Linked DNA regions of Stegostoma tigrinum. The protein of the gene in region 1 interacts with the protein of each later gene in a pairwise test. Links are inferred from orthologs where the notes say so. Each region holds a gene or a part of one and is shown on either strand. Other genes may lie near its edges.

The links.
Region 2: the proteins of trim37 (region 1) and copb1 interact in binary tests that used the Homo sapiens proteins (3 or more experiments, as listed by UniProt). The two-hybrid records come from large-scale screens. The link is inferred for Stegostoma tigrinum from reciprocal best matches to the Homo sapiens genes TRIM37 and COPB1.
Region 3: the proteins of trim37 (region 1) and protein FAM124B interact in a two-hybrid assay, tested with the Homo sapiens proteins (2 studies listed by BioGRID and IntAct). The link is inferred for Stegostoma tigrinum from reciprocal best matches to the Homo sapiens genes TRIM37 and FAM124B.
Region 4: the proteins of trim37 (region 1) and protein FAM107B-like interact in binary tests that used the Homo sapiens proteins (3 or more experiments, as listed by UniProt). The two-hybrid records come from large-scale screens. The link is inferred for Stegostoma tigrinum from reciprocal best matches to the Homo sapiens genes TRIM37 and FAM107A.

Annotation. Positions count from the first base shown.
Region 1 is NC_081380.1:41,719,156-41,726,124, reverse strand, and holds the start of trim37 (E3 ubiquitin-protein ligase TRIM37), read right to left. Parts: upstream 3,004-6,969; 5' UTR 2,924-3,003; coding exon 2,905-2,923; intron 1-2,904. UniProt on the Homo sapiens protein: E3 ubiquitin-protein ligase required to prevent centriole reduplication. Probably acts by ubiquitinating positive regulators of centriole reduplication.
Region 2 is NC_081370.1:30,699,643-30,707,181, forward strand, and holds the start of copb1 (coatomer subunit beta), read right to left. Parts: upstream 3,020-7,539; 5' UTR 2,824-3,019; intron 1-2,823. UniProt on the Homo sapiens protein: The coatomer is a cytosolic protein complex that binds to dilysine motifs and reversibly associates with Golgi non-clathrin-coated vesicles, which further mediate biosynthetic protein transport from the ER, via the Golgi up to the trans Golgi network.
Region 3 is NC_081367.1:24,340,951-24,347,836, forward strand, and holds the start of protein FAM124B, read right to left. Parts: upstream 3,026-6,886; 5' UTR 2,810-3,025; coding exon 2,745-2,809; intron 1-2,744.
Region 4 is NC_081364.1:52,121,684-52,129,453, reverse strand, and holds the start of protein FAM107B-like, read right to left. Parts: upstream 3,007-7,770; 5' UTR 2,965-3,006; intron 809-2,964; exon of another isoform or gene 789-808; 5' UTR 554-788; coding exon 530-553; intron 1-529. UniProt on the Homo sapiens protein: Stress-inducible actin-binding protein that plays a role in synaptic and cognitive functions by modulating actin filamentous (F-actin) dynamics. Mediates polymerization of globular actin to F-actin. Also binds to, stabilizes and bundles F-actin.

The DNA.
Region 1 (6,969 bases):
ATAAATGCTACCTTTGGCAACAAGATTATAAAATGATAAAAACAGTAAAATTTTATAATTCACAAGTTACATTTCAGCTAAAATTCTCTGATTCTGAACTGCACACCCACAGGTAGGATGCCAAGGTCTTGGATAAAATACAAAGATTTATTAGAATAGTACCAACAATAAGACTTCAATTACATAGAGTCTGGAAAAGCTGTTGTCAATATTAGAACCGAGGTTAAGGGGAGATTTGATGGAAGTTTTCAAAACTTCAAGAAGCATTAACAGTTTCTCTTTATTTACAGTACTGGAAGTCAGGCTGAAGATAACTGGTCAAAGAAGATGAAAAGAGACACATTAAACTAATATGAAATTCAATGCTGGAATGAATGGTATCAGGAAATTCAATTACAGCTTTCCAAAGGAAATGGTTTATATACTCAAAAAGGAGAATTACAGAGCTGTTATAAAAAAGCAGGCAGAGACTAACTGGAGCTACTTTCAGAGAGCTGGCAAAAACATACTGTACAATTCTATGTGTACAGCTGGATGAACACAGCAGGCCAAGCGGCATCAGAGGAGCAGGAAGGCTAACATTTCGAACCGAGACCCTTCTTCAGAAATGGGAGAGGGGAAGGGGTTTCTGAAATAAATAGGGAGAGAGGGGGAGGCGGACAGAAGATGGACAGAAGAGAAGATAGGTGGAGAGGACACAGACAGGTCAAAGAGGCGGGGATGGTGCCAGTAAAGGTGAGTGTAGGTGGGGAGGTAGGGAGGAGATAGGTCAGTCCAGGGAGGACGGGCAGGTCAAGGGGGCGGGATGAGGTTAGTAGGTAGGAGATGGGGGTGGGGCTTGATGTGGGAGGAGGGGATGGGGGGGGAGGGACAGGTTAGGGAGGTGGGGATGAGCTGGGCTGGTTTTGGGATGCAGTGGAGAGAGGGGAGATTTTGAAGCTTGTGAAGTCCACATTGATAACATTGGGCTGCAGGGTTCCCAAGCAGAATATGAGGTGCTGTTCCTGCAACCTTCGGGTAGCAATGTTGTGGCACTGCAGGAGGCCCAGGATAGACATGTCGTCTGAGGAATGGGAGGGGGAGTTGAAATGGTTCACGACTGGGAGGTGCAGTTCTTTATTGCGAACTGAGCATAGGTGTTCTGCAAAGTGGTCCCCAAGCCTCTGCTTGGTTTCCCCGATGTAGAGGAGGCCACAACGGGAACAGCGGATGCAGTATAGCACATTAGCAGATGTGCAGGTGAACATCTGCTTGATGTGGAAGGTCTTCTTGGGGCCTGGGGTGGGGGTGGGGAAGGTATAGCACTTCCTGCGGTTGCACGGAAAAGTGTCAGGTGTAATGGGGCTGGAGGGGAGTGTGGAGCAGACAAGGGAGTCATGGAGAGAATTGTCCCTCCTAAAAGTAGAAAAGGGTGGGGAGGGAAAAATGTCTGGTGGTGGGGTCAGATTGCAGATAGCGGAAATGTCAGAGGATGATGCGTTGGATCCAGAGGTTGGTGGAGTGGTACGTGAGGACAAGGGGGATTCTGGTTTGGTTGTTATTGCAGCGACGGGGTGTGAGAGATGAGTTGCGGGAAATGCGGGAGGCATGGTCAAGGGCGTTCTCAACCACTGAAGGGGGGGAAAAATAGCAGTCCTTGAAAAACAAGGACATCTGAGATGTATGGGAGTGGAACGCCTCACCCTGGGAGCAGATGCGGTGGAGGCAAAGGAATTGGGAATAGGGATGGCATTTTTGCAGGAAGGTGGGTGGGAGGAGGTGTATTCTAGGCAGCTGTGAGAGTCAGTGGGCTTGAAACAGATATCAGTTTCTCGGTGGTTGCCAGAGATGGAGACAGAGAGGTCCAGGAAGGAGAGAGGTATTAGAGATTGCCCAGGTGAATTTAAGGTTGGGGTGGCAGGTGACAGCAAAGTGGATGAACTGTTTGAGCTTCTGGTGGGAGCACAAGGCGGCACCAATACAGTCATCAATGTAACAGAGGAAGAGGTGGGGTTTAGCGCCAGTGTAGATCTGTCCGATGAAGGGTCTAGGCCTGAAACATCAGCTTTTGTGCTCCTAAGATGCTGCTTGGCCTGCTGTGTTCATCCAGATCCACACTTTGTTATCTTAGATATGGAAGAGGGTTTGTTCCACGTAATCTACCAAGAGGCAGGCATAGCTTGGGCCCAGTGGGTAACCATGGCCACACCCTTTGTCTGTAGGAAGTGGGAGGAATTGAAGTCGTTGAAGGTGAGGACAAGTTCGGCGAAGCAGATGAGGGCGTTAATGGAGGGCGACTGGTCGGGCCCACGGGACAGGAAGAAGCGGAGGTCCTTTAGGCTATCTATATGGGGCATGCAGGTGTAAAGGGTCTGGACGTCCATATTAAAGATGAGGTGTTGGGGGCCAGGGAATTGGAAGTTCTGGAGGACGTGGGTGGTGTCACGGGCATAGGTAGGGAGTTCCTGGACCAAGGGGAGAAAATGGAGTCGAGATGGGTGGAGATGTGTTCGGTGGGGCAGGAGCAGGTGGAGACAATGGGTCCCCCTACCGCATCCAAAAACCAGCCCAGCTTGTCCCCGCCTCTCAAGCCCCATCTCCTACCTATTAACCTCATCCCACCCCCTCGACCTGGCTGTTCTCCCTGGGCTGACACATCTACTCGCCACCTACACTCACCTTTACTGGCTCCATCCCCACCTCTTTGACCTGTTTTCTCTCCATTCATCTTCTATCTGCCTCTCCCTATTTATTTCAGAACCCCCTCCCCCATTTCTGAAGAAAGGTCTAGGCCCAAAACATCAGCCTTGCTGCTTCTCTGATGCTGCTTGTCCTGCTGTGTTCATCCAGCTCTACAACTTGTTATCTCAGATTCTCCAGCATCTGCAGTTCCTACTATCTCTGTACATTTCTATGCTTACTCACGTATTTGCAGACAACCCATTTCCCAGGCACACTGGGTGCACTAGTGGATTCATCACTAATTCCCGAATTAATGCAAGGCTGAGTGCAGACAGTACGGGCTGGGTAGGTACAAAGCACAACTGAATGCTCTTGTTTCTGTTTTGGCAACACAATCCTTCCTGAGCAGGAAAGAACAATGCAATGAAAATTGATTACTAACACTGAAACCGGTTTACACTGGAAATAAAAAGAAATGGAATTCCACATTCCTCGGCTATTCGACAATTATAGAAAACAATTAAACATACAGTTGAACTCACAGGCAGTCGTCCCATTCAGGGTAAAACGCAATAACGATGCTGCTGGCCCCTGGTCGGCGTCACTGCGGCTCTTCCTGCTCCTGCGAAGAGTAATGTTATCCGTAAGGCCTGTGTATGAGTGTAGGGGGATGTATGCAGGCCTCTGTGTTTGTCGATCTGCGGCCTACAGTGGGTGCACAGTGAAACCACTGACCGGCTGCGGTACATCTGACGGCAGATCCGGTCGCTCCTGACTGTCGCCCCTCACCACTTTTCAATTTTTTTGCTGTTTATTTTTCCTCTGCATCTCTGTCACATTATTTTCTTCTTCACGCTAGACTAGATTATTCATTCACCGATCGCTGTTTTGTTTCTTTTGCGCCTCATGTTTTTTTTTCCATCCCCCTCCCCCAACTCCGCGCCTCTTCAAATCGGCAGGCGACCGTTTGGTCACCCGGGAGACGAGGCAACCAATCGGGAAGCGGGCAGCTCGAATCCCGCCCCCCCACCACAGTGTGGTCACGCCCACTTCCGGTTACAACGTGTGGGGCGCTGCGGGGGACACGGCCCAATCAGCCATCAGGCCCGCTTTTTCGAGTTGACCAATCACAACGTGTTGCTGTTTAGAACGCATCCTCTCCCCGTCCTTCCAGGCCAGAGGAGCTATCGCGATAATTTTAGGCCGTTTCCCATAGCTACGACAATTGATGTGTCCAAGGCTACTAGCGGACGGGAAGGAATACAGTCCCTAACGACGAAGCGCGTGCAGCCCAGCTGGTGAAAGTTATACTGAGACTCAAGATAATAAAATGTGAGGCTGGGTGAACACAGCAGGCCAAGCAGCATCTCAGGAGCACAAAAGCTGACGTTTCGGGCCTAGACCCTTCATCAGAGAGGGGGATGGGGAGAGGGAACTGGAATAAATAGGGAGAGAGGGGGAGGCGGACCGAAGATGGAGAGTAAAGAAGATAGGTGGAGAGGGTGTAGGTGGGGAGGTAGGGAGGGGATAGGTCAGTCCAGGGAAGACGGACAGGTCAAGGAGGTGGGATGAGGTTAGTAGGCAGGAAATGGAGGTGCGGCTTGGGGTGGGAGGAAGGGATGGGTGAGAGGAAGAACAGGTTAGGGAGGCAGAGACAGGTTGGACTGGTTTTGGGATGCAGTGGAGGGAGAGGGGAAGAGCTGGGCTGGTTGTGTGATGCAGTGGGGGGAGGTGACGAACTGGGCTGGTTTTGGGTGCAGTGGGGGAAGGGGAGATTTTGAAACTGGTGAAATCCACATTGATACCAGAGATAATGGGAACTGCAGATGCTGGAGAATTCCAAGATAATAAAATGTGAGGCTGGATGAACACAGCAGGCCAAGCAGCATCTCAGGAGCACAAAAGCTGACGTTTCGGGCCTGGACCCTTCATCAGAGAGGGCTCCTGAGATGCTGCTTGGCCTGCTGTGTTCATCCAGCCTCACATTTTATTATCTTGGAATTCTCCAGCATCTGCAGTTCCCATTATCTCTGATACTGAGACTCAATCCGCTTTGTTACAGGAACTAAATTTCACAAAGACTTAATTTAAAAGGAGGATTTACATTTCCTTAAGCTTACGAAGAGGGTGATGTGTTTTCCTTTTTCCTCCCAGAGAGTCATACTTAAAAGCCAAATGTTTTGTCTCTCCTTTTCCACAGATGCTGCTGAGTTTCTCCAGTATTTTTTTCATGTCCGGTTGTAAATCCATTTCATTACGTTATAATAAAAACAAGGTACTGGCGGATGCTGGAAATCTTAAATAGTTTTAATTCATTCTATGAATAAGTAGTTTCAGAATAAGCGTTCCGATGTAGTCAATATCGGGCTGGAAACGTTACCTCCCTTTTTTTCTCACCACAAATACTTTCAGACCTGCTGAGATTGGCGTTTTTCGTTTTTATTTCAGATCGCCAGCATCCGCCGTATTTTGCTTGTAACCAGTGTTCAGTTGCCAACAGCAATTAATGCGGAGATTCATTACAGAACATTACGACGAGGATGCTGCATATACCTTGGCACACCTGAGTTTTTCAGAGCCTGTTGATGAATACGCTTAGAACCACAATCACTGTAGTAAATCTCCTGACAGAAGGTTAAAACAGATCACAAATCCAAGCGACAAAGGCATTTGGCGGTACTTGTCGTGTATTTCTGCGTCCTATAGACTGGGCAGGCCAAATTCAAGCCCTGTGAGCATGAGCTGTTCTGGAAACAGGCTCTACAATCATCATTGCCTATTTCTCTTTTGTGTCATAATTGTCAGTCAGGTGAGATACCAGAGGTGTGCAGGTACCTGTGTGCATGAATCAGTGCCTTTAGGATAAGAATGAATCAAATGGCAGACAATGGAAAGATTTTAAAAGCTGAAAAATCCTCACTTAAACTTTCCCGAAAACACCAACCTTTTAAATGACCTGCCTCAACAACTTTCTCTGTCAGCCCATTCCATATACACACCACTCTCTGCCCCTCAGGTCCTTCTCAAATCTTTTCCTCTCTCACCTTAAACCTATGCTCTCCAGTTTTCAATTCCTCATCCCTGGGAAAGAGACTACATGCATTCATCCTATCTGTGCCCCTCATGATTTTATATATCTTGATAAGATCACCTGTCATTCTCCGATGTTCCAAGGCCTATCCTGGCCAACTTCTCCCTATCTCTGAGGCCTACTATGGGCGGCATGGTGGCTCAGTGGTTAACACTGCTGCCTCACAGCACCAGTGACCAGGGTTCAACTCCACCCTCGAGTAACTGTCTGTGTGGAGTTTGCACATTCTCCCAGTGTCTGCATGGGTTTCCTCTAGGTGCTCCAGTTTCCTTCCACTGTCCAAAGATGTGTAGAGTAGTTAGACTGGCCAGGCAAAATTCAGGGATGTGTAGATTAGGTGGGTTATAGGGGTGTGGGTCAGGATGGGAGGCTCTGCGGGTTGGTGTGGACTTGTTGAGCCACAGGGCCTGTTTCCACACTAGGTAATTTTATGATTCTATTGTTTCATTACATTCAGAATGATCTGGGGAATGGAAGGTACCTTGTAAATGCAGGCTTCTTCAATCATTTATGTGACAAAAAAAATTGTAGTTTATAAATCATTCAGATCAATCCAAAATTTACTTCAGGTTGCGGTGGCCGAGATATAAAACGTGTGCAGGGCATAAAAGTCCATTGAACTAGAGTTAGTCAAAAATCTTGACACGTATATGCCAGTGGCTTCTCCTGGTGATCGGTGGCAGCAGCAGCTGCAACAAAGCTGATCGGTGGAGCATGTTTCCGGAGGAGACAAGAAAAACTGCAGATGCTGGAATGCAAGGCAGACAGACAGGAGGCTGGAAGAACACAGTAAGCAGGGCAGCATCTACAGGAAAGGCACAGTCAATGTTTCGGGTATTACCCTTACCTCAAGAGTAATACCTGAAACGTCAACTGCTGCTTTCCTCCAAATACTGCCTGGCTTACTGCGTTCTTCTTTCTTCCAGTTTGTCTACCATGTCTCCACAGGAGGTTGACACAGTCTCCAGGCCAGGCCAGGGCTAGGTACAGGAAGATAACACTTTTAAGATCTGGATGTTTTCCTTTTCTTTTATTCTTTCGCTTTTTAAAAAAAATTCTGCTTTTGTATTTTAAGATAGCAACTTTGTAAACTTTCCACTGTACTCCTATATTCCTGTGCTTGATAAAATCTAACTCTAACAATGGTTTGGTGTTAAGGCCTGATCAGAAACTATTCCGATCAAGTTTATTGTTTAAGTTTTAACTGTGAACAAAGG
Region 2 (7,539 bases), on another chromosome or scaffold:
TCGGAAACACATAAGCTGAGGGAATGATGTAGGTTGACAATGTTACATTGGTGGAAGCAGATTGCCTTGGCAAAGAACTGAGTTAGGGTTGAAAATTCAGAGTCAAACATGACACCAAGGACATGCACAATCTGGTTTGGTCTCTAAGTTTTCATGGAAATGGGTGTAGTCAGCGAAAACAAAAGAGCAGCGTTTGTTTTCATGAAGTCCTTTTTATGTCAAGAAACTCCAAAACACAGTTTACAGCAATGATGCACATTTGAAGTGCAGCTAATGTGGTAATGTAGGCAAACAGCAGCAGAGTTGCACATAAGAAAATTCCACGAACACCAATGCAACCAAATAATCTATTCTATAACAGTAACTACGAGAGAAATATTTGACAGGTCATCAGGGATAATTCTTTTCCCTTGCTATTTTGAAGAAAAGTTTCTGTGAATTAACTAAGATGACACTTAGTTGGAGAAAATTTGTCCTTTCAGCACTGGGAGTCAGAAAAGCAGTGAGATAAATCAGAAACAATGCACATAAAGTAGAAGTGAAGTTGAACTGGATGGCACTAGCATACATATGGTACCTGAGATTGTGATTTTGCATTATGTCAAAGAGGTAGGGGAGAAATAGGTAATAGTTAGGGATACATCCTTGCTGAATTCAGAGGTAACACAGGACCAAATAAAAATACCTCATTGCAGGTAATTATTTGGCTATGACTGTGTCGATCAGAATGGAATTGCCCCTGGTTAGTTTCAATCAGCTGGACGATGCAGCAGATATGCTGAAGGAGGATAGCATGGCCAACGTTGTCAAAGGTTGAAGGCAGATTAAAAAAACTATGGAATGATTACTTATCATGGTCACAGTCATATAAGTTGCCAGTTGTAACTTTAATAACAGCTGACTTACAGCAGGAGCAGAAGGTTAATTAGTGAGCTTCAAACATGAAATTGTAGGAAAGATGGGCAGCAATTTGGGTGGTGACAGACATCCAAAGGTTTCGGAAAGGAATAGGGAGATTGGAGATGATGCACTGTGTCACAAACGGCAATAGCATTTAGCTATGAGCCATCACTGGGACATATCATAACACTGTAGTTTACATCATGGCTTTTTAGAACTCTGCCATTTGTTTATCAATAGCAGGAACTGAAAGGACTACACGGAATTCAGAAGCAGGTCACATCTCCCTTCCTGAAGGCCATGTATTCACCAAAAATATCAATATCATATAATAAGAGGTTGACAAACCATTTTTTCATACAGCAGGTAACAATTAGAGAAAAAAAAATTTACGTTTGCACTTTGATCTTTTATCTAATTTTAAGAGGATATTTCACACTCGAAGTAACTGAGATGTGCAGTGTAGTTATCAGGCTCTCAGGCACATTGTATTACTTAGTCATGAAATGTAGTTATTTTCAGGTAATATTCTGTCATTGGAGCTTTATCCTACATTTAAACTACACTTGCGTTTTACAGAACATTTAAGTATATCATATAGTTTGAAGCCAATGTAAATAAGGGACTTCATTGTTGATTGATACAATATTTAAGTTCAAAACTTCAATGCAACTTGCTCAAATTTGCAAATGCTAAATTATGATGGGCAAGGAAGAAACTCAGAAAGTGAGACAAGGGACATAAAATGTCCAGATGAACAAAGCTATGGCAGATGATGTTCAATATGCATGAAGGAAAATCAGATATATGTTGTTTGCAAATAGCAGGAAAGCTGAAGGAGACCAAAGTGTTTCCACAAACTTGTCACAAGATGTACAACTAAACACAAAATTCAAACCACAAAACCAATAAAATGATGAACTGCTGTAGGCACAAATCAGAGTAAGTCATGATCTAGCTGACAGCTGTCTGATCAGCTCAAAACTTATGATTACTGTATCTAGCTCTCACCACCAAATCACAAAAGGAATATTCAATGAAAGAACAGTGATGTTAATTCATAGAATTAATTAAGTCAGAATTATGAAGTACCATCAAGATTTCAGGTTTGAAAGAAAACCTCCAAGGAGATCGAAAAGGTAACAAATTCGGAAATGATAAATGGCAAATTACATTAAGAAATAAAGTGCAAAGTTAGGCAAGAAGACAAATACAGATTTAAACCAGAAAGGAGGTCTTATTGATAAGGAATGGAATGGAATCCCAAATATACTGGAGAAAATTATGATTCCATTTTAAAATGCACGCTGAAACTGAAGCTTAAAGCTTTTCTAAATGAAAGAAAAATTGGTTGACCGACGCTTCTGGTAAGCGATTATCTTATGCACAACTTGCTAGCAAACTTCACAAAACAACTCGCAGAAATTCGACCTTTCGATTTTTCGCTGTTAATGTTTATGTAGCAGCAGTTTCCTCTCGCTCAGTGCTGGGCATCCCGACAGTTTAAAAGCTGACCTGGCCATTTTGACTACTTGGCACTTTCCAGGACCAGGCAAGTTTTACCTGATTGCAAAGTCATTAGATTTGCAAAAAGGCATAATTCAAATGTTAAAGTGAAGCCCAAAGGAAGTGAACAGAGAACATTATGCTGCGGAAATATTAAGCTACATGCTTACACGGGGACCCTTCACTTTTGTAAAAACATCGGCTTCTCAAGGATTATTCAAAACCTCATTTGATTTTGCTTCAATCTAAAGCCGAAGAGTCAGTCCAGTCCATCTGAGGAGGGAGCAGGACCGCTCCCTATTGTGATGTAAATCTGCTCCGGGAAGCATGAGTGGGGCCGAGACAACAACAAAACCCGGCCTTAGGCCGCGGCCAGGAACTGGCAACCTCCGCTGCCAGGCGACGGTCTTACTGCACCTGGTCTCCAGAGATGAGAAGAGAAGGCCGGGTCGCTGTATCAACGGCGGCTGAAGAAGCGGGGAGGGGGGAGGAGGAGGATGATGATGATTGTGTGGAGGTAGAGGAGGAGGAAGCCGATCTCTTCCTCCCGTTGTCCTCCAGCTGACGTGGAACTGCAACCTCAATGATCGACGGCGGCCGAGCGGTGCCAATAGACACGCAAGCGCGCTCCGAGGAGCCACGTCACAATCCGCAATCGCAGGCAGACTTTCCCGTCCAGAGCACAAGTGTAATCAGGGAACTGCTGCACGAGAGCATGCATCATCTCTACACTATCAGAGCGACTCACTTCATAGCTTCCTTCTCCCTACTCCAAAGGTGCACATTTTTTTTGCCTGTCTTTTTCTTTTCATGCTTTTCTTCCTTTTCCATACATTTTTAAAAACTTTTCACTTCATAGTCCAGAGATGGTAAAAACTGCAGTTGTTGGAGTCAGAATTAGCCCCTTTTCTGAAGGGTCTCGAACCCGAAACATCAGCTTTCCTGCTGCTCTGATGTTGCCTGGCTTGCTGTGTTCCTCCAGCTCCACACTGTGCTACCATATCAGTCCAATTCCCTTTCGAAGACATCGATTGAACCAGTCTCCAGCAGTGTATTCTAGACCTCGAGTGCCGGCTGCACGGATAAAAAAAAAGTTATTTCCTCGTATTGCGGTTGCTTATTTTGCCAATTATTTAATTTTGTGTCCTTCGTCCTTTCACAATTGGGAACAGTTGCTCCATTTGCTCAAATACCTCAAGCACTCGCATACCTCAAGAACAACGTCTGTATCTTCTTTCCTCCCTGGGAACCAGTCAACGTTACTAATGGCATACATAATCTCCAGTCTCCCAGGTTGCCTTGATCAGCTACAGTTCGTCCATCCTCGCAATATGTCCACAGCAGACACCAGCGCTTTCGTCCAATACTCATCCCTGGAACGTCTGAATAACGAGGACACGTATGTCAAATTTCCATTTAGTGACTTTAGCTCTACCTTCAACACCATAATTCCAACCAAACTCATTTCCCAATCCTCCGAGAGCTAGGATACTCCTCCCCATTCTGCACTGGATCCTCAACTTCCTGAGCAGCAGACCACAATCGTAAGGATAGGTGACAGTACCTCCTCCATGATAATCCTCAACACCCTGAAAAGTTGTGCACGCAGACCCTTATTATAGTCCTTATATTGTCACAACAGTGTAGCCAAATTCAGCTGTAACTCCATTTACAAATTCGCTGATGACAACAACAATGAGATAGAGTACAGAAGAGAGATAGAGAGCTCAGTGGCATGCTATAAAGTCATCAATCTCTTCCTCAATGTCAGCAAAACGAAGGAACTGGCCATCAATTTCAGAAAGTGAAATGGAGGATATGCCCTCAGAGATAATGGGAACTGCAGATGCTGGAGATTCCAAGATAATAAAATGTGAGGCTGGATGAACACAGCAGGCCAAGCAGCATCTCACGAGCACAAAAACTGGAAGCTACGGGATGAATCCATAGCCTACATACCCCCAGGCGACACCGAGAAATACCTGGGTGCCCGCATCGATCCATGGGCAGGTGTGGCAGAAGGGCAGTGGGAGGAGAAGCTTAAGTCCTGGGTTCAGGGAATACAGGCAGCGCCTCTCCGACCACGGCAACGGTTGGAAATCCTAAAGGTGCATGTCATCCCCAGATTGTACTTCCATATGATCCTAACAGAAGCATCACAAACTACTCTTGTAAAGCTGGACCAAATCATCCGTAACGCCACGAAAGAATTCCTACACCTACCACCTCATACCGCAGACAGAATACTATATTCGAGCTACAGGAACGATGGTCTCGGCGTCCCAAAACTCGAAGTGCAAATACCATCCGCGATAATCCGCAGCTCTTGCGGTGTAACCTATACCCAACAAGAACCACAATATCTAGAGGTAGGCCGTACAGAAACAAACTATGCCGTAGATGTGAGATGGCAAATGAGACCCTACCACACATCTCAGGATACTGCCCATTCGTTAAGAAAGCTCGAATCAAACGCCATAATAAGATCGCTGACCAGTTGCAGAAACACGTCAGTAAGTACGGCTGGACATCATACGTGGAGCCCAGACTATTCGATACACACGGCTCACTATGGAAACCCGATCTCATATTTAAGAAAGACAAGAAGATCGCGATCGTAGATGTCACAGTGCGGTACGAAAATGACAATAAAGCACTGGAAACAGCATGGCGAGAAAAAGTGGAAAAATATAAACACCTGAATGCCGAGATCACGAAACTGACAGGAGGCGAGGTGCCCAGCTATTTTGGCTTTGTGATGGGCGCACGAGGCAAGTGGTCGGAAATGAATAACCGCCTCATGACATTCCTCGGCATCGAGAGATACGACACTTTCGCCCAAAAGACCTCGAGACTCACTTTGTCACTGACACTCGAACTTCTGCAACTCTTCAGTGACAAGTGAGGAAAAACCGCAAACGGTGAATTAAGTCCCTTCACCGAGACATAAGAACATCAAAGTTGCACATAACATCTGTCTCCGTTAATGACAATAACAACCTGCCTCATATAACATCAGTATCACCCGAGCCCTTGGTCTACGGTGACGCTAGAGGCCCGAAACGTCAGCTTTTGTGCTCGTGAGATGCTGCTTGGCCTGCTGTGTTCATCCAGCCTCACATTTTATTATCTTGGAGGATATGCCCTGTTGGTCACAATGGTGCAGAGGTAAAGATGATCAAGCACTTCAAGTTTCTAGGGGTAAATATCAAATAAGCAAAGAGTAGTGATAAACAGGTCCCTTTCGGAATGGCAGGCGGTGACCAGTGGGGTACCACAACGTTCGGTGCTGGGACCGCAGCTGTTTACAATGTACATTAATGATATAGACAAAGGCATTAAAAGTAATATTAACAAATTTGCTGATGACACAAAGCTGGGTGGCAGTGTGAAATGTGAGGAGGATGTTATGACAATACAGGGTGATTTGGACAGTCTAACTGAGTGGACGGATGCATGGCAGATGCAGTTTAATGTGGATAAATGTGCGGTTATACACTTTGGTGGCAAGAACAGTATGAGAGACAGGGATGAGTACACTGCAGTAAAGAATTACTGCAGCTTTGAACAAAGACATCTGGTACTGAGCTGAGTGATAAGATAAGGGAGTGAAGACAAAACAGTTAGAAACCAGAATGAACTGGACCCAAACTGCTAAGTTCTGCTTTGCACCATAGACATAGTTAAAGCGCATGCTTAATGAGACAATGCATATTAACTTTCACGCCCATGCTTACGAGACTGCTTAATTAACATAACATGCAATGTATGAAGAGTGTGGGACAAGGGATGACATGGGAAGATTGTGCATCTTGGAGCTCAGATTGGACAGAGCCGAAAGGGAAGGGGTGACTCCCTGACCTGTGTGCGTCTCAGGCAATGGGAGGCACCCGATTCTGCAGACTCGTAATAAAGCGCAAGTAACTTGTTTCCAAGACTTTGCCTCCTGACTTTGTGATTGTGAGCACGTGAATTTATATCTCACAAGCTTGGGGGCTCATCCGGGATCCACACTCCGAGTCGTCCGCTGGTGGGTTCGGAAGAAGAGAAGGCGTGCCCCGCTGAGTTCAGAGGTCCCAGACGTCCTTGCTTGCCGTTGGGCGGCTTGAGCGAGTCGTATCCGGATAGGAGACTCTGAAAACAAGTGGGTTTAGGTTAAGGGCCCTTGGAATGTGAGTCGATCGAGCAATTCTTGTGCACAAGACCCGGGTAAGAAAATTGACTATTAACTACTATCCGGGCGATCGGGGAATCTGTCCGAAGTGGGACAGGGATGGGGGCTAAAAGGTAAGAGCCCCCGGGAACAGAGTAGGGGGCCAAGAGGACGAGGCCCCGGGATTCCGCCCGATAGTCCGTTGGGGTGGATGTTAGAGCACTGGGAGGGTGAATAAACCCAGGGTAAGAGATAAGTGTAGGATGAGTACACTTTGGATATATCCGGCACTGGAGCTCCTCCGCATCAAACGTGCCGAGAAAATTCTGAGGATGAGGAGCAATTCAGACGTCTGTCAGCATGCCTTAATAATAAATTAGGGAATGAAATTGGGCAAATAGAGGGAACGAGGTGGTAGATAAATGCACCAAAGTGAAAGAAGCAATTTTGAAATGCAAATCAGGGGCAAACTGAAAAACTTTAATAACTATGTGGAAAAAAACTGCAGAGGAAATAACGAACTAATCTAAACTGGCGAACTGGGATAATAATGCCTGTTGAAGAGGGATTAGATTATGTGATCATGAGGAAAACTTTAAATTGTGGGAGGTGTTGAAGCAGCGGCATGAGGTTTAGGATTTGAGTAACAGAACAGGAAGGATTGAGAAAGGAATTGCAGAATAAAGAATTAGGAATGAAACGCCAGGCTGAATTACCGTACAGAAATAAAAAGGAGGTACTTCCTGACATATCTGGCTTGCCGATGTTGTTCCAAAGTAATGACATAAATGAGTAAGATAAGGAGGACTGGAGAAGGAAGTAGGCAACTTAAAGTAAAATGTCACATGCAACGCAGATTATGTGAAACAGTAGAACATTCAGATCCCTAAAAAAATTCCACTCTTACCCAAGATCATGAGAGCATTGCATTCATATCTGTAAGAAATTCTGTTTGAAGTTCAATTTGTTAATTTGGTCTT
Region 3 (6,886 bases), on another chromosome or scaffold:
CAAAAGGGACAAGAAATCTAACAACATCTAAAACACCTTACCAAGGTCTAAGCTGATCACTACATTTATTTCACCTTGCCCCTTTCTGAAGTGATTGAACTTAAGTCATGAAACACAGTAAATAAAGTTAGTTATTAAAATTAGGTGCATTATTTCTAAGTTGCTGTCCAACAGGTGTCAAAATAATTCCTTACGTTTTAAAACAAAATCAGTAAAAAAGTTGTAGTAATACTAACTAGTAATTTTATTATGATCCTCAACATTATATGTTTCTAAAGAATTATTCAAGGGAGACTAGAAAGTAATTTTCTTTCAAAAGATTACAATTGATCAAAATGCTTCACAGGAATTGCTAACTGGAGCTGAGTTCATCAGGAAACTGAAGATGCAATTAAATAAAAAATATTTAAATGATTACAAGGAATGATCAAGTAAATGGTATTGCAATTTAAAAGTTTCATTAGAGAACTGGCATTATCAGCAGCAACATGGTACTGGAGATAGCTTTCAGCCTATGCTAAAGAAAGAATTCAGTTGGTGTTTTCTTCCTGAAGGCAGTTCTGGCCCACAATGTCACGAGTTCAGGCAGTGGAAGGAGACGGGTCCTGAATCTACCCCTGTTGAAAATAATGTTGTGTGCCCCAATCTGATTCGCACTTGCTATTCAGTCCCCAAGGAAGCCGAGTTGTGAAAACGTACATTTTTACATGCAAGATAACAAAGTGTGAAGCTGGATGAACACAGCAGGCCAAGCAGCATCTCAGGAGCACAAAAGCTGACGTTTCGGGCCTAGACCCTTCAGAGATGAAGGGTCTAGGCCCGAAACGTCAGCTTTTGTGCTCCTGAGATGCTGCTTGGCCTGCTGTGTTCATCCAGCTTCACACTTTGTTATCTAGGATTCGCCAGCATCTGCAGTTCCCTTTATCTCTGATCACAATTTTTACATGCACCTCCCAGCCTGGAGATATGGACAGCAATGGTGGAAGCTCACGTTTGTTACCCCGAGGTCATGACTGGCCAGGAATCGATTATTTCTGGCATTCAGGAGAGTGATTTACAAATCAAAATTGAATCAGTCTGGCTGTGTGATGAATGCACCCTCATTTACCATAAAGTTCAGGATTAGGGCATAAACTTGAGTCTCGGACTCCAAAACAGAAAGTGTATCAACTAAGCCACAAATCCTCCCTCTACTGAAACATTAATCAATATAAACCGAATATCTACACGGAATATGTTTAAAACATCTTTGAAATATCTATTACGTACACAATCTCTAGTCTCCGAGTTAGAGCTATTTTTCAAACAAGTTCGAAACATTTCCTTTTGTAAGGCAAACAATGAAGTCGCTTAAATCAACAATAAACTCAGGTTTTGGAATAACCTTAGGAAGAGATCAGTTAATAGATTATGGTTCTAGTACAGAACTTGCCCTGTGCAATATTAAGTGCTAGCTCATAGTGGCTGGCTCTAAAAAGAAAACTGCATTAGAACTGCTGACTAAACGCAACGCGTAACCAGGGAAGATTATAATCATCGGAATCTGAGAAGGAAATGTCTGGTGCAGTACATTCACAAAACAAAGTTGTTTGTTTGATACTGGGTCGGAAGTTTCCGCGGTGGCAAAAACTATTAGGTTTTTCGATAACCTAAAACAAAGAACTGCGGATGCTGGAAACCTGAAACAAAATAGAAAGTTGCTGGAGAAATCCAGACTCTTAAAATTGAACCCGAATTATTAACTCTGTTTTCTCCAGCACTTTGTTTTTCTATTAGGTTTTTCGAAATTGGTGTTTGATAATAAAATGCACAAAGGAATCAGTGTAAAGCGCCAACTCGGTGCAGCGTAGTTGAACTTAAAAAAGGTCTGGGGTTACCAGGGCAACAACTTCATCTGTGTTCGGAATTTTGATTTAGGTTCCTATTTAAACTGCGCCCGCTACACATTAGTCGCCAGAATGGTACAAACAGCATTGCTTTCTGGTTTCCACGGTGAATCAATAACCGAAATATCGTGGGCAGTGTGAATGTGTCACGTCTTCAACATTGACCGGCAGTTGACACCATTCGAGAGGTGATTCCGAGATTATGTCAGCCTCTTTACTGCGAGCATTAAATTAGAAACGTGATCTGCTCCAGCGCTGCTAACCAGAGATATACATTTCAGTTTGGCTCAGACTGTGGCAACTCTCGTCTTATTAACAATGATCTAATGCAGCCACAAAGGAATTTTTACAAAAACCTGACATAACGTCGGGCACAAACCCAGCAAAGACCTCCCGTTAAGTAGCCGGTTATCCACAATGTTTAACGGAATTGTGCTATTCATCTTTCGACTAGCAGCCTATCGACTGTAAAAGGCATTGAAAGTTCTTGGAGGAAGAAACTTCAACCCCGCCCAGAAAGTGGATTGTTCCTTCAGTGTACAAAAAAAATTGACTGAAATGTAATGTAGTGTAGATTTAAAGTGGAGCAAACCTGGCTGACAGTGAAGTGAATAAGTTGTGTTGTGAAGAGGCGTGTGCCTTCTACATTTCATTTAATTTCAAGTGAACTAGAGTCACCAGCAACCCGTGCAAGGATCTTGTGCCCACAGTACAACAGAAATCTTTTGTTGTTAACGGCTTCCCTCCCCTCCCCCTCTATGGTGCCCCGCCTGGTGACAGTGGAAACAAGCCGCCCTCTCCCTCCTGCTTCTGAATCACAACAGGCCCAGGAAGGAGTCGACAAAGGCACTCACTCACCCTGCAGTCTCAGCTCCCGAGTCTGCCCACTCCTCCGCTGGCCCACTGCTGCCGCCTCGCATCATGTCCCAGAGCTGCGTTCGGGAACCAGCTTGGATACTCTCACTGCTCAGGGAGGCTCCAGCTTCAGGCGGCTCCGCTCCTCATTGTTTTCCCGCAGGTTGATCATAGAAACACAACCCGCCCCTTGACGTCACCAATCCTGACAGACAAGACATGAGAGACTTCCAATTGAAGGGTTTTCCCTCTCTGCTGCTTGTCCAGCCACTCGAGAGAGAGAAAAAATCTTATTATGACTACAAATATAAGGAGGGGAACAAAAGGCGAGGGAGACCTGAGACAGCAATCAAAGATACACCCGTCAGCCATTTGGCACATATGGCGCAGGCTCATGGTAGCGTAGAGGTGACTAGATGATTTGTGGAAATCAATGGAGGTCAGGCACTGAAGGGGCTAGATTTTTCCTAGTAAAACATAACACGTTTTAACAAATGCAAAATTAAAGTCAAGTAAAAGAAACTTCCCAAGAGTGGATTTGATCCGTTTTCTGTCAACATTTGCATGTGGTCCCTGCCATCCTTTACCCTATCACCATAATCCTCCTATCCCTTCCTTCTATAATGTTCTAGCTTCCTCTTAAATATACTAAGATCACGCTACATTACACCTGTAGCAACAAGGCCAACAGGCTAACCATTGGAAGTAAATCTTCTCCAGCTCTCAAATAGGTTACCAGAGGGCACAAATAAAAGTAATGAAAGCAAAATACAGTAGATGCTGGAAATCTGAAACAAAGAATTTTTCCACTTGACAAAACCATGTTGAATCTTCTGGATTAGTGTTTTTTTCCTAATCATATAGCCAAAAACTTTAATGTTCTAGTCAGTGCTTTCTCCTTGAAAGCAATCCATGAACTATTCTTCAAGTCTATCTCTGGCAATATTTCCAGTTTACAACACATCAAATCAGCCATGATTATAGCTATCATTTTACCAGAAATACCTTTGTATATCTTGTACGTTTTGTTTGACATTGTGGTTACTGTTAGGAGGCATGATTAATAGTCCTACACCTCCAGTGTGTTTTGTATTCTTCTTAAACGTAAGATACCCCTCAATATTAAGGACCCACTGTCCACTATTAATTCATTTACTTTGTTATGAATATAATGCAGAGTTATGACCAAGGTCTTTACTACTATACTCTGACAATTATTTCCCATGTTACTGTTTTTCTCTTGCTTTATCTGTTTGATAGGCTATATTCTTCCACATTTATTCACTTGCCCTCACTATTCAGTTTAAAACACTTCTATACCCTAGAAACAGTTTGCAAAAACACTGGCTCAGCATGGTTCAGATAAACGCCACCCCAATGGTGTAGCTCCCATTTTCTCCAGCAGTGGTGCCAATGCCCCAAGAACTGGAACGACATGTCCCACATTCGTTCTTGCGCTTTACACTAGCGCCATTCCTTACCTCTTCCTCCGCTACATTGATGACTATAATCGGCACTGCCTTGTGCTTCCTTGAGGAGCTTGAACAGTTCATCAACTTTACCAACCCCTATTCCCGCAATCTCAAATTCACCCGGACCATTGCTGATACCTCCCTCTCCTTCCTGGATCTGTCTCCATCTCCAGTAATCATTTCAACATTGACATCTATTTCAAATCCACTGACTCCCACAACTATCTGGACTAGACCTCCTCTCACCCACACTCCTGCAAAATTATGATCCCTCACTGCCAACTCCTCCGCCTCATCTGCTCCCTCGATGAGGCGTTCCACTTTTGGACATTCCAGGTGTCTTCTTATTCAAGGACTGCAACCTCTCTCCCTTCCGGTGATCAAAAATGCCCTCAACTGTATCTCTTGCATTTCCTGCACTTACACTCTCAAACCCACGCCCTCCAACAAAATAGTCAGAATCTCCTTTGTCCTCACATACCACCCTACCAACCTCTGCATCCAGCCTATCATTTGCTGCCACTCCCGCCAACTACAACTCAACCCCACCACCAGAGATATTTCCTTTCCCATCCCATCTGCCTTTCATAGATTGCTCAATCCGTGATTCCCTCGTCCACTCCACACTCCGCACCTTTCCTTGCAACTGCACAGTGCTACACCTGCCCGTAAACCTCCCTCCTCACCTCCAAGGGCAAAATCAAACCGTTCATATCGAACAAGGGTTCACTTGTAGATTCTCCAACTTGGTCTACTGTATGTGTTGCGCCCTATGTGGACCCCTCTATATCAGTGAGATGATCAGGCGTAAAAGTGGAGACTATTTTGAGGGGCATCTGCACTCAGTATGCGACAAGCATCACCACCTTCCGGTCCCCAAACATTTTAACTCCCCCCCCCCCCCCCCACTCCCTCGGTGACATGTCCATCACAACGACACCACACGCAAACTGGTGGAGCAACACCTCATTTTCTGCCTCTGGAGCCTACAGTCCGATGGCCCAAAACATAGGATTCATCAGTTTTAAAATCTCCGCACACTGCCCCCCCCAACCAAAATCGGCTTCATCTCGCCTCCTTGACCTGACACAGCCTGTCCATCTTCGCTCCCACCTATCTGCCCTACCCGTCCTGCTGACCAATCCCCAATACCCACTATGTGCATCCAACCTAACACCATTCCACTTACCTTTCCCCAGCCCCATGCATCCTCCCTCCCACTTCCTTCACCCAAGCACATGTCCGTCTTCTCTCCCACCTATCCGCCCCACCACTCCCTACCTGCATTCACCTATCATCATCCCACTTACCTCCTCCTGTCCCACCACCCCTCCATTCACTTTCCAGCTCCCTTCCCCCTCTCAAATTTCTGAAGGGTCCCAACCCAAAATGTCAACTTTCCTGCTCCTCTGATGCTGCCTGACTCTCACTCTACATCAATTTGCATAGCATTCAAGTAATAATCCAGAGACCACAAAGTTTGAGGCTTGCCTTTTAATTTAGTGCTCTAGCTTCTCATACCCTCTATGCAGAAGTTCTTACCCAGCTTTATTTGTGTCATTCGCACCCAGCTAGATCACAATTTGATGATCCTGGTCCTGCGACAATTTTGTCTTTAGTCTGAGGAGATATTTTGTTCTCCTGGTACAAGACAGACAATGCAGTTGTCTGGACTGTCATCCATTGCTGAAGAGGATAAACCAATCCTCTTGAGTATACTAACTATGACCACAACAACACTTCTTGTTCTGCATGCTCCACTCCCACCCCCCTTACCTGCCTTACTCTGTCACATCTTCCCATCTCTGACCACAGACCAAATCAAGACGCTGTTCAAAGTAATGTGAATATTTCTTGCTACAAAGAATTCAGGTGACCTTTCTCCTCCCCGACGCATCTCAGCTCACCCGCCAGCACATACTGTGAGCCAAAGCAGTTCAAGCCTAAACATTAATAAATGATAACAACATAGAGTCACTGAGGAAGTAAAACAAAAAGGTTTAATGGAATACCATAAGAAATGAGAAGTTACGCCTGTCCAGAAAGATTGATTTAGCTCAAGTTCTTTTCTAGAAAAGAGGTGACTTCCAAGTGGCCTAATCGAGATCTTTAAGGGTAAGATCAGGGAGATGTTGCATTGCAGTTAGAAGGTTGGCCTTGTTACCACATTGAGTGGTTGAGTAGATGAACACATTTTAAGAGAAGTTAACTAAACACTGGAAGAAAAGGTTAGAAGGATGTATTGTTAGGATGAATAAAGAAGAACAGAAGGCAAACACTAGATATTTACTTGTATCAAGCCACTTCAAAATGGTACAGTTTCAATGTGAGTACAAAAGCAGAAGAAAAGAATAAAAATTGATCTGCAGTAGTTCAAGGAGTCCCCTACCTGTTCGGGGCAACTAGGAGTAGTACAATAACTGTTAGCCTTGCCAAATTCCCCTAGTTTAGAGAATAAATAAAAAATATTTATATCCAGAAGTGCAGTTCTTCATAGCAAAGCAATTCAAGCTATGCCAGCCAAAAAAATGTTCATTGTTCAAATCCCCACTCACTCCTCTTCCCCAACACATGCATCACAAAAGGACTTCACTGCAACACTGCATTTTTGATTTGTAGACACAGCAGCCTATTTGCACACAGCTGGCTCCCATAAATGGGCAGATTTCCCTT
Region 4 (7,770 bases), on another chromosome or scaffold:
TTTGTCAACAACTCACTGTCTTACAATCACATTATTGTGGGAGGATCTACTGTAGCAAGATCTATGCCAGTAAGATTAGAATTGCTAGTACAGGTCCAATGTTAGATTATTAATATTCTAACTCAGGCTTTTCTATAGCCACAATCTTTCCTGCGGGTAAGATTTTCCCAATCTGTTTCATTGGACAAAACCAGGCAATAAGGGAAAGTGTGAGGAAACAAATAGATCAGAAAAGAATTAACGCTTTTATTGAATAACATAAATAAACCTATGCTTCATATCTGTTAATCATTTAAATTTAACATACTTAAAGCAATTCAATCCCACAGCCCATTTCTCTATTTTCAGACAACAATCAGTTTGTTTCAGTTCTTCTTAGCAGTTGGTACTTAACTCAATATAGGCAATTATCCACAGCCAGCACACAAAATATTAGTAGTTTAGTATATTTTATGTGCTGCTAAGCGTTCTGACCCCTCTTTCATTATGTAAAATGTTAAATCAAGATGACGAACAAAGGACTGTTTACCTTTTTACCATGAGCTGCTCCCATGTTGATGGTTTTGCTCACTCCTCTTTAGGTTCTGCTGCAGTTTCCCCTGAACAATATCCTTTTCTGTCTGGGCTCCCCGTGCTGTTCTCTTTCTGCAAGAGGAGCTGCTTGCACAATGTGCGAGGAGGCACAGACTGCAGCAGGCAGGCAGGAGATGTGAAAACACGCAGCTCTGGCACCTTGACAACTCTTCCACAGAACCAAGGCTTTACTAATTCAGCAAAATGGCAAAGACCTGGGACGGAGAAGCCAAAAAACAAGTATTTAAGAGTCTCACTAATTTATAAAATAAATTAACAAAGCAAAACACTGCAATTACAACACTGATTGACACAAGTATTTCTCTCTTCAGTCCACAGCAAGCTGTGGTATGTGCCCTGTGAAGCTTTAGTACTGAATAAAGATTACATTAATTGCTCATGACACCATGTGATGATGCACAGAGCACATGGATGGCTTTACATAGAATGTGACAGGCCTACAATGCCTCGTTATTACACAAAGAAGATGTTCCTGCTGGATGGGCCTGGGTCTTCTGACATTTACATCTGGAGCTCTTCCAAGCAGCAATGCCATCCATTTTAGTATTTTGCACTGATTCACGTACCCTGCTAAATTCTGTTGAACATCCGCTAGTGCTGTGTAATAGCCAGACAGTTTATGAACTCTAGCTCAAAATCGTTTTAATCTCCAGTTGACCATCAGTTGAGTTACAATACAGTCACATGAATGAATTGCAATGTTGCCATTTCATTGCTTAAAACAGGCTTTTTGTTAAATGGGTTTGAGTTTGTGAGCTACAAAATTGAAGGTATGCTAATTGATGGATGTAAGAATTACATTAATATAGACATTGTTACACATCTTAACTATCGGTATGGAGACTCAAATGAAGTAGAAAACCTTGCAAAAAAACGTTAGTTTTCTTTTCTCAAAACCAACAGCTTAATATTTTACTTCAGATCTTGTTAACCAGCAATTTATTTTTCTGTATGTCCAATGGGATTAAGTCAACTCTCTTTTGCATTAATGTTCATATCATTGCTTCCTTTGGACATAAACTGTTCAAAACTAGCTACAATTAGAATTTATTACCAGCAACTTCCAATATTAATTAGACATCTTTTCATGAGCAAAGTAATGTAGTTTTTGGTGATTGCGTTCTTGCAAACGGTGTACAAGATAATGAGAGGCATGGATAGAGTCGATAGCCAGAGACTTTTCCCCAGGGACAGTATTGACTGCCAAGAGGTGTCATAGTTTTAAGGTGTTAGGAGGAAGGTATAGAGGAGATGTCAGAGGGAGGTTCTTCACCCAGACAGTTGTGAGCGCATGGAATACTTTGCCAGTGGTAGTCGTGGAAGTGGAGTCATTAGTGACATTTAAGCAACTGCTGGGCATGCACACGGACAGCAGTGAATTGAGGGTTAGGTTGTAGGTTAGGTTATTTTAGTTTTGGATTAGGATTATTTCACAGCACAACATTGTGGGCTGAAGGGCCTGTACTGTGCTGTACTTTTCTATGTTCTAAAACCAATTTTTATAAAGTAGATGTATGACTTCCGCTAAGTTTTCTCTCTATCTGATATTCTGAACAAAGGTAAGCCAGAAGGGATGAATGATGTAAGCTTTTCTCAAACATCATGCTCCCCTCCACCCCAAATATCCTGACCCTGAGACTCATCATCATTGGGCAAATCAAAGTTTCATTTTATTTATTTGTTACAACCTGACAATTATTTGGATTTTGTATGAAAATTCAGCGTGTCTTTTGGAATTGCACTGATCCAGTTAGAGCGTAACAATGTGTGTGGTCTATAAGTCAGTGTCATTTTCAACTCTGATGTTCAAGCATTGATCTGGGAAAATGGATTGTCTGCCCATTGTAGAGCCCATCAATGAGATGGCACTCACACAGTTTCTACAATGGATGGGCAACCTTCCCCAAGAGGTAGAGATTAAACTTAACCTCTTAGAGTTACGGGTGTTGTGATTTATATTGCAAGGTGGCACAGTGGCTCAGTGATTAGCACTGCTGCCTTACAGCGCTGGGGACCCAGGTTCAATTCCATCCCTCGTGACTGTCTGTGTGGATTTTTCACATTCTCCCCATGTCCCTTGGGTTTCCCCCAAATGTTCCAGTTTCCTCCCACAGTCCAAAGATATGCATGTAATGTGTACTGACCATACTAAATTGCCATTGTGGCCAGGGATGTGTAGGCTAGGTGTATTTGCCATGTCAAATGCAGGGTTACAGAGATGGGGTGGATCTGGGTGGGATGCTCATTGGAGGGTTGGCGTGGACTTGATGGGCCAAATGGCTGTTTCCACACTGTGGTAATTCTAGGATTCTAAAGGAATCTGAGCTGAGAGTCTGAGATAATCGGAACTAGAGGAAGGTGTTGGCTCACCCATATTCCAGCCAAAGATCCAATCCACGTTCACTTCAGGTGTTGCACTTGCCAGGATCTTAGATTCACAGAAGGGTGCTATTTGAGCCATCATGTCTGCACTGGTCTTTCAAAGGAGACTAGTCCCAACGTGTTCAGTCTATCCTCAAAACTGAATTTTTTTTCTTTGTGAAACCATTCTCGTAAATCGTGGCTCTGCATATAGGAGAGTGTAACTTGTCAAGTGATCTTAGACGAAATGAAAACATCTGAAGACCATAATTACTTCTAAAGAAAAAGATCATTTAGCAATCTTTGCTGCAGAAAGAGCAAGATACTTGAGAATATTTTCCTGAACATTTTTTCATGTGGAGACCCCAAACTGTAAACTATAACGTTGCATTTTGCTTTGATTTAGTCTGACAACCAAAATATTCCCTTTGGGTGTTAACATCAGAGAATGAAAATCCAGCACTGTTTCCTTCCACTTGTCCAGAGCTAATATGTTAGAACTCTCTGAGCATAAGTGGTAACAGAAAAGCCTTTGATTGTGATGTTTGACCAGAAACCTGTAGTGTACAGTGAATGTAATGTTCTAAACAAAGCCAATCATACAATCGATTGCCTGAGGGTCTTGTAGTGTCCCTGCATCTGGGTCAAAAGGCAAATGTCCCACCTGTTCTGGAGGCACATCACACCACATCTCAGTAGTTTGCTTTGTATAGCTATAATCAATTACTTTTGTAAGACACTAATTAAAACGGCTCGTTTGAACTCTGTATAATTAATTTGCAAAACCATAGGTCAGGGAGAAACTTGGAGTAATAATAATTCCTAAAATGTTTAGTTTGTAATTCCTATTGACCATGCTGTGTGTGGCATTGGTAAATCTCTCAGAGCAGGTCATCCATCCATTTGTATCTGTGTTTCGGGCAGTCTAGGAAGAGGCAGGAGACTGGCTCCAAGTTAAAATGTTCATGCAGACACGATGGGCTGAAAATCCTCCTTCTGTGCTTGAACAATTCCGTGATTTTGTGACAGTAAGTGGAACGAGGTGGGGAGACTACTTCCCAGACTGATCATAGCTCAAACTATTTTTCTAAACAAGCTATTCAGAGATGTTATTACACACTTGGAGCAGCAAAGAGGAATGGCCCAACTGAGACCAATAAGTAGCTAATTTATGATCACCTGCGGGCTTAATCAGCCTGTGCCAGGACTAATCCAGGCTGGAGGCAAGCCTTTTGCTAAGCATTGTGCATGACAGCTAAAACTGTGTGGCTGGCTTGCCAGCCAATAAGAGGAGGTCCCTCAATCAAAGGAACTGAGGCCCTGACAGAAAGCTACCCCTTGCCTTTGCTGCCGATTCCTCTACCAATGACCTCCACTCCACGAAACCCCTCCTGACATTACCAATCTCTGTGGTAGGGTTAGGGTTAGGTTTAGGTTTAGGGTTACCCCATCGCAAGGTTACTTCACAATCCTGGGGCTCAGGTGAAGGTTTCTCCTGAAACAGCCACGGTCTTCCCTGCAGCGTTGCTGGGCACAAGAGTCACTGTCTCCTGAGTGACTGGCATCTCTTGGTAGGTCAGATTTCTGCCCTGGGGTCCTGATTTCAGGTGAAGGCTTGCTGGTGGCCTCACTGCTGCCTGTTTGGTTTATGGTTTGGTAGGTCTCCCTGGGAAAGGTTGTTGCTGGCCCTCCAAACAGCAGGCAAGATCTGGCTGACGGAAACCCTGCTGGTAACTCTTTATGTGGAAAATAAAATGACGAATATTAAACAATGTTTGTATAATGCAAGTGGCTATATTATTGAATGGATTCCCTGTTCTCGTCAGGATATCAGCACATTAATTTACATACGCATGGTTGTCAGGTAAAAATGGCTTGAAACAAAATTGACATGCTCATTAAATTTGCAACCTTTAAAAAACTGGTTTAGTGCTATCAATCTCATCAAAACATAGCATTCCTGTTTTTTAACCTGCAGAGGAGGTTTCCAGTTTTTTCATCATGTAGTCCTTGGTAATGAAAGTGTGGGAGTTAAGTGCTGGTGATTCATTTCTGATGTGACCAAATGAAAGTAATGGCATAGTATATTTCCTGATAAAATATTGTAATATACTGCACAAGGGCAAATGCGAAACTGGTGAAAGCAGAGTCAAAAAGTAAGCATTCATTGAGAAGCAACTGCAAAATATATTCCCAACTTCCAAGGTTCATTTTAAAAGTCAGTGATTCCAAAATTATTGACTTTGATGAGTTGAGGTTCAACTTTGTCAAAAAGCTGAAACAATGTATTGAAACAAACTGTTTGGAAGAATCTTTTATCAATTCTGTTCTCCTCGTGCCTTGGGGACAGTGACCACCCTTGATTATCATTGTGTTGTTTCTGTCGCTGTGATATAAGCAAGCTGAGTTTAGTATTTTCTTGCAGAGTATTGTAATGGTTCTTCTACAAGATTTTAAATAGCTTTGGAAATTCTTTTTGAAATTCCCTTTTTCATTCATTCTAAAATATAGTATTCACTATTTGTAGGAGACTTAGTTGAATACATTCAGTTCTGGTTAAAAATGAGAGTCTGATTTCTCAGTATGTATAATACTTTACTGGCATTCCATGAGCTGTGGCCAAGTCTCAAGGTAATTTGCCAAGACATTTGAAGTGCTGTGATTTCTGGACCCTGGGCCTACATGTTTATTGACCTGACTCTTACAGACTTCAACCACAGGTAGCTGATGTCAGTATTGCGACAGCTACTTTTATGTTGAGTTTAAATTCTGTTTCAAAGCCTTGTACTTTCACACCGATGGTCCAGAATCTATTTTATTCCGTCTGAGTGTCAGTAGAACCACTGTCTTCACTTTTTGTTCCGGAGCTTTAACTTTAGGAACATTTTTCCTTGTTGCATGATTTCCACCTCTCTGGAAATTTTCCATTTTGCGGGATATTTCTTTATTTGTGAGGTAATTAAGGTGTTGTTAACTTGCAATATTTTCTGAAGAGCCCTGATTGGCCACACTTATAGCAGTTTTTAGTTCTTGCTGCTGGACATTCATTATGTTGTGATTCTCTTTTATGCTACAACCTAATCTAGTTGATGATTTTGATTCCAATTCTCCCAGCACTTTGCAAGGCTTTTGGGAAGGTGATGATGGCATCTTGGGACCTACCCATTTGACCAGGTCAAAAGAACTTCCCCTCCATCATAATGTCAGAAGTGGGATGAAAGTCAACTTTTTGCAGCATTTCAACAGGAAGATCTGGTTGTATTGTTGTGCAAGGTATTGATTTTGAAGGAGTTAATGTTTCCGTGACATTGAACTCCATCCCTTCTGAGACTGTCACACACAGGCTGGTGTGTTAAACGGTAAGTGCTACAGTAGCCTATGGAGGGTATAGCTCTCAAGAATCCTAGTAATTAGTCTTCTGGAAGGACTCTATGGTGGCCCATCCTCTTCCACTAATCATTAGGCTGGTTCTGGACAAAGTACAGATCAAAAAAAGGATTGCTAACAACAAACTACCCCTCAGCCAATCCTTGCTTGGAACCTTATTCTCACAGAGGTGACAGATACCATGAGGTGCTAATAGTGTCAATCAGTGTAATGCCACAGCTATTTCAATAGTGGCACTTTCTATCCATTGTTTACGTTAATTTATCATAATTTATACTCACAAATGGTGTCATTTTCTTGTCAAGCCAGGTACGTTACAAATTCAATGACAGGAAATCATGTCTATGTCATAAACTATTAATTTTGAAATCACTATAATTAACCGACCAGCGAGGTCCAAGGAGGTTTACAAATAAAACATTTATAGCTTGAAGCCCTCAGATTGAAAACTCTTATTTCCAATGACAGCTGGATATCAACAATTAAGTCACCATTTTTCACTGAGAGTGTAAACGTAATGATAAACCTAGCCATTTGTGTTGAGGTGGGAATGAAGACCCTACTATTACTATGATTAAAATTAAAGTATGTGATTATCTTGAAATAAATGATATGATTATACTCGATCTTTTTTTCCCAAGTTTTAGCATTCACAGCCTGTATAAGCATATCACTCATTGCTACAAAGAGCAAGGAGATAAACAACAGACAAGGTGTTTGAATTACCAAGGAAACTAGCAGATCCAAGGCTGAAGGGTGAGAATAACAATGGTCTGCATGAAGTCGAGAATTATAACTGTGTGCTGCAAACTCAGTATTTTTGACAAATGCTTTGGGTAATCAATAAGAGCTTATCCCTTATTTATGATCAAATAATATACTTGGGGCTTGTTTGAACCACATAGACTTCGGAGTGGTTATTTTTCACTCTCCTATCAACCTGCGAGTCTACTTTCAAGGGATTATGAACCTGCACTCCAAGTTGTCTTTGTTCAACAACACTTCCCAGGACCTTATCATTAAGGTGTATAAGTCTTGCCCTGATTTGTCTTTCCAAAATGCAGCACCTCACATTTATCCATATTAAACTCCTATTGCCACTCATTAGAACAATTTTGTCTGTTTTAACATACAGTATAAATCATTATGACAATCATTTCATTACATCCTGGATACTGACATCACCCACAAACTAACCAACTAACTCCCCTGCAATAGAATAGTAGATATCAGATGCTATTTTACAATGAGGTAACATACCCTTCCTTCCTTTACAACTGAACAGGGTCACTTTTGAATAATGGCATTGAATAATGAGATTGGTAGACCAAATACTCCAATAAATTCAGCTGATGCCAGGGCTCTTGTGGTGTAGTGGTAATGTTCCTACTTGTGAGCCAGAAGGTTGAAGTTCAAGACCCACTTGCT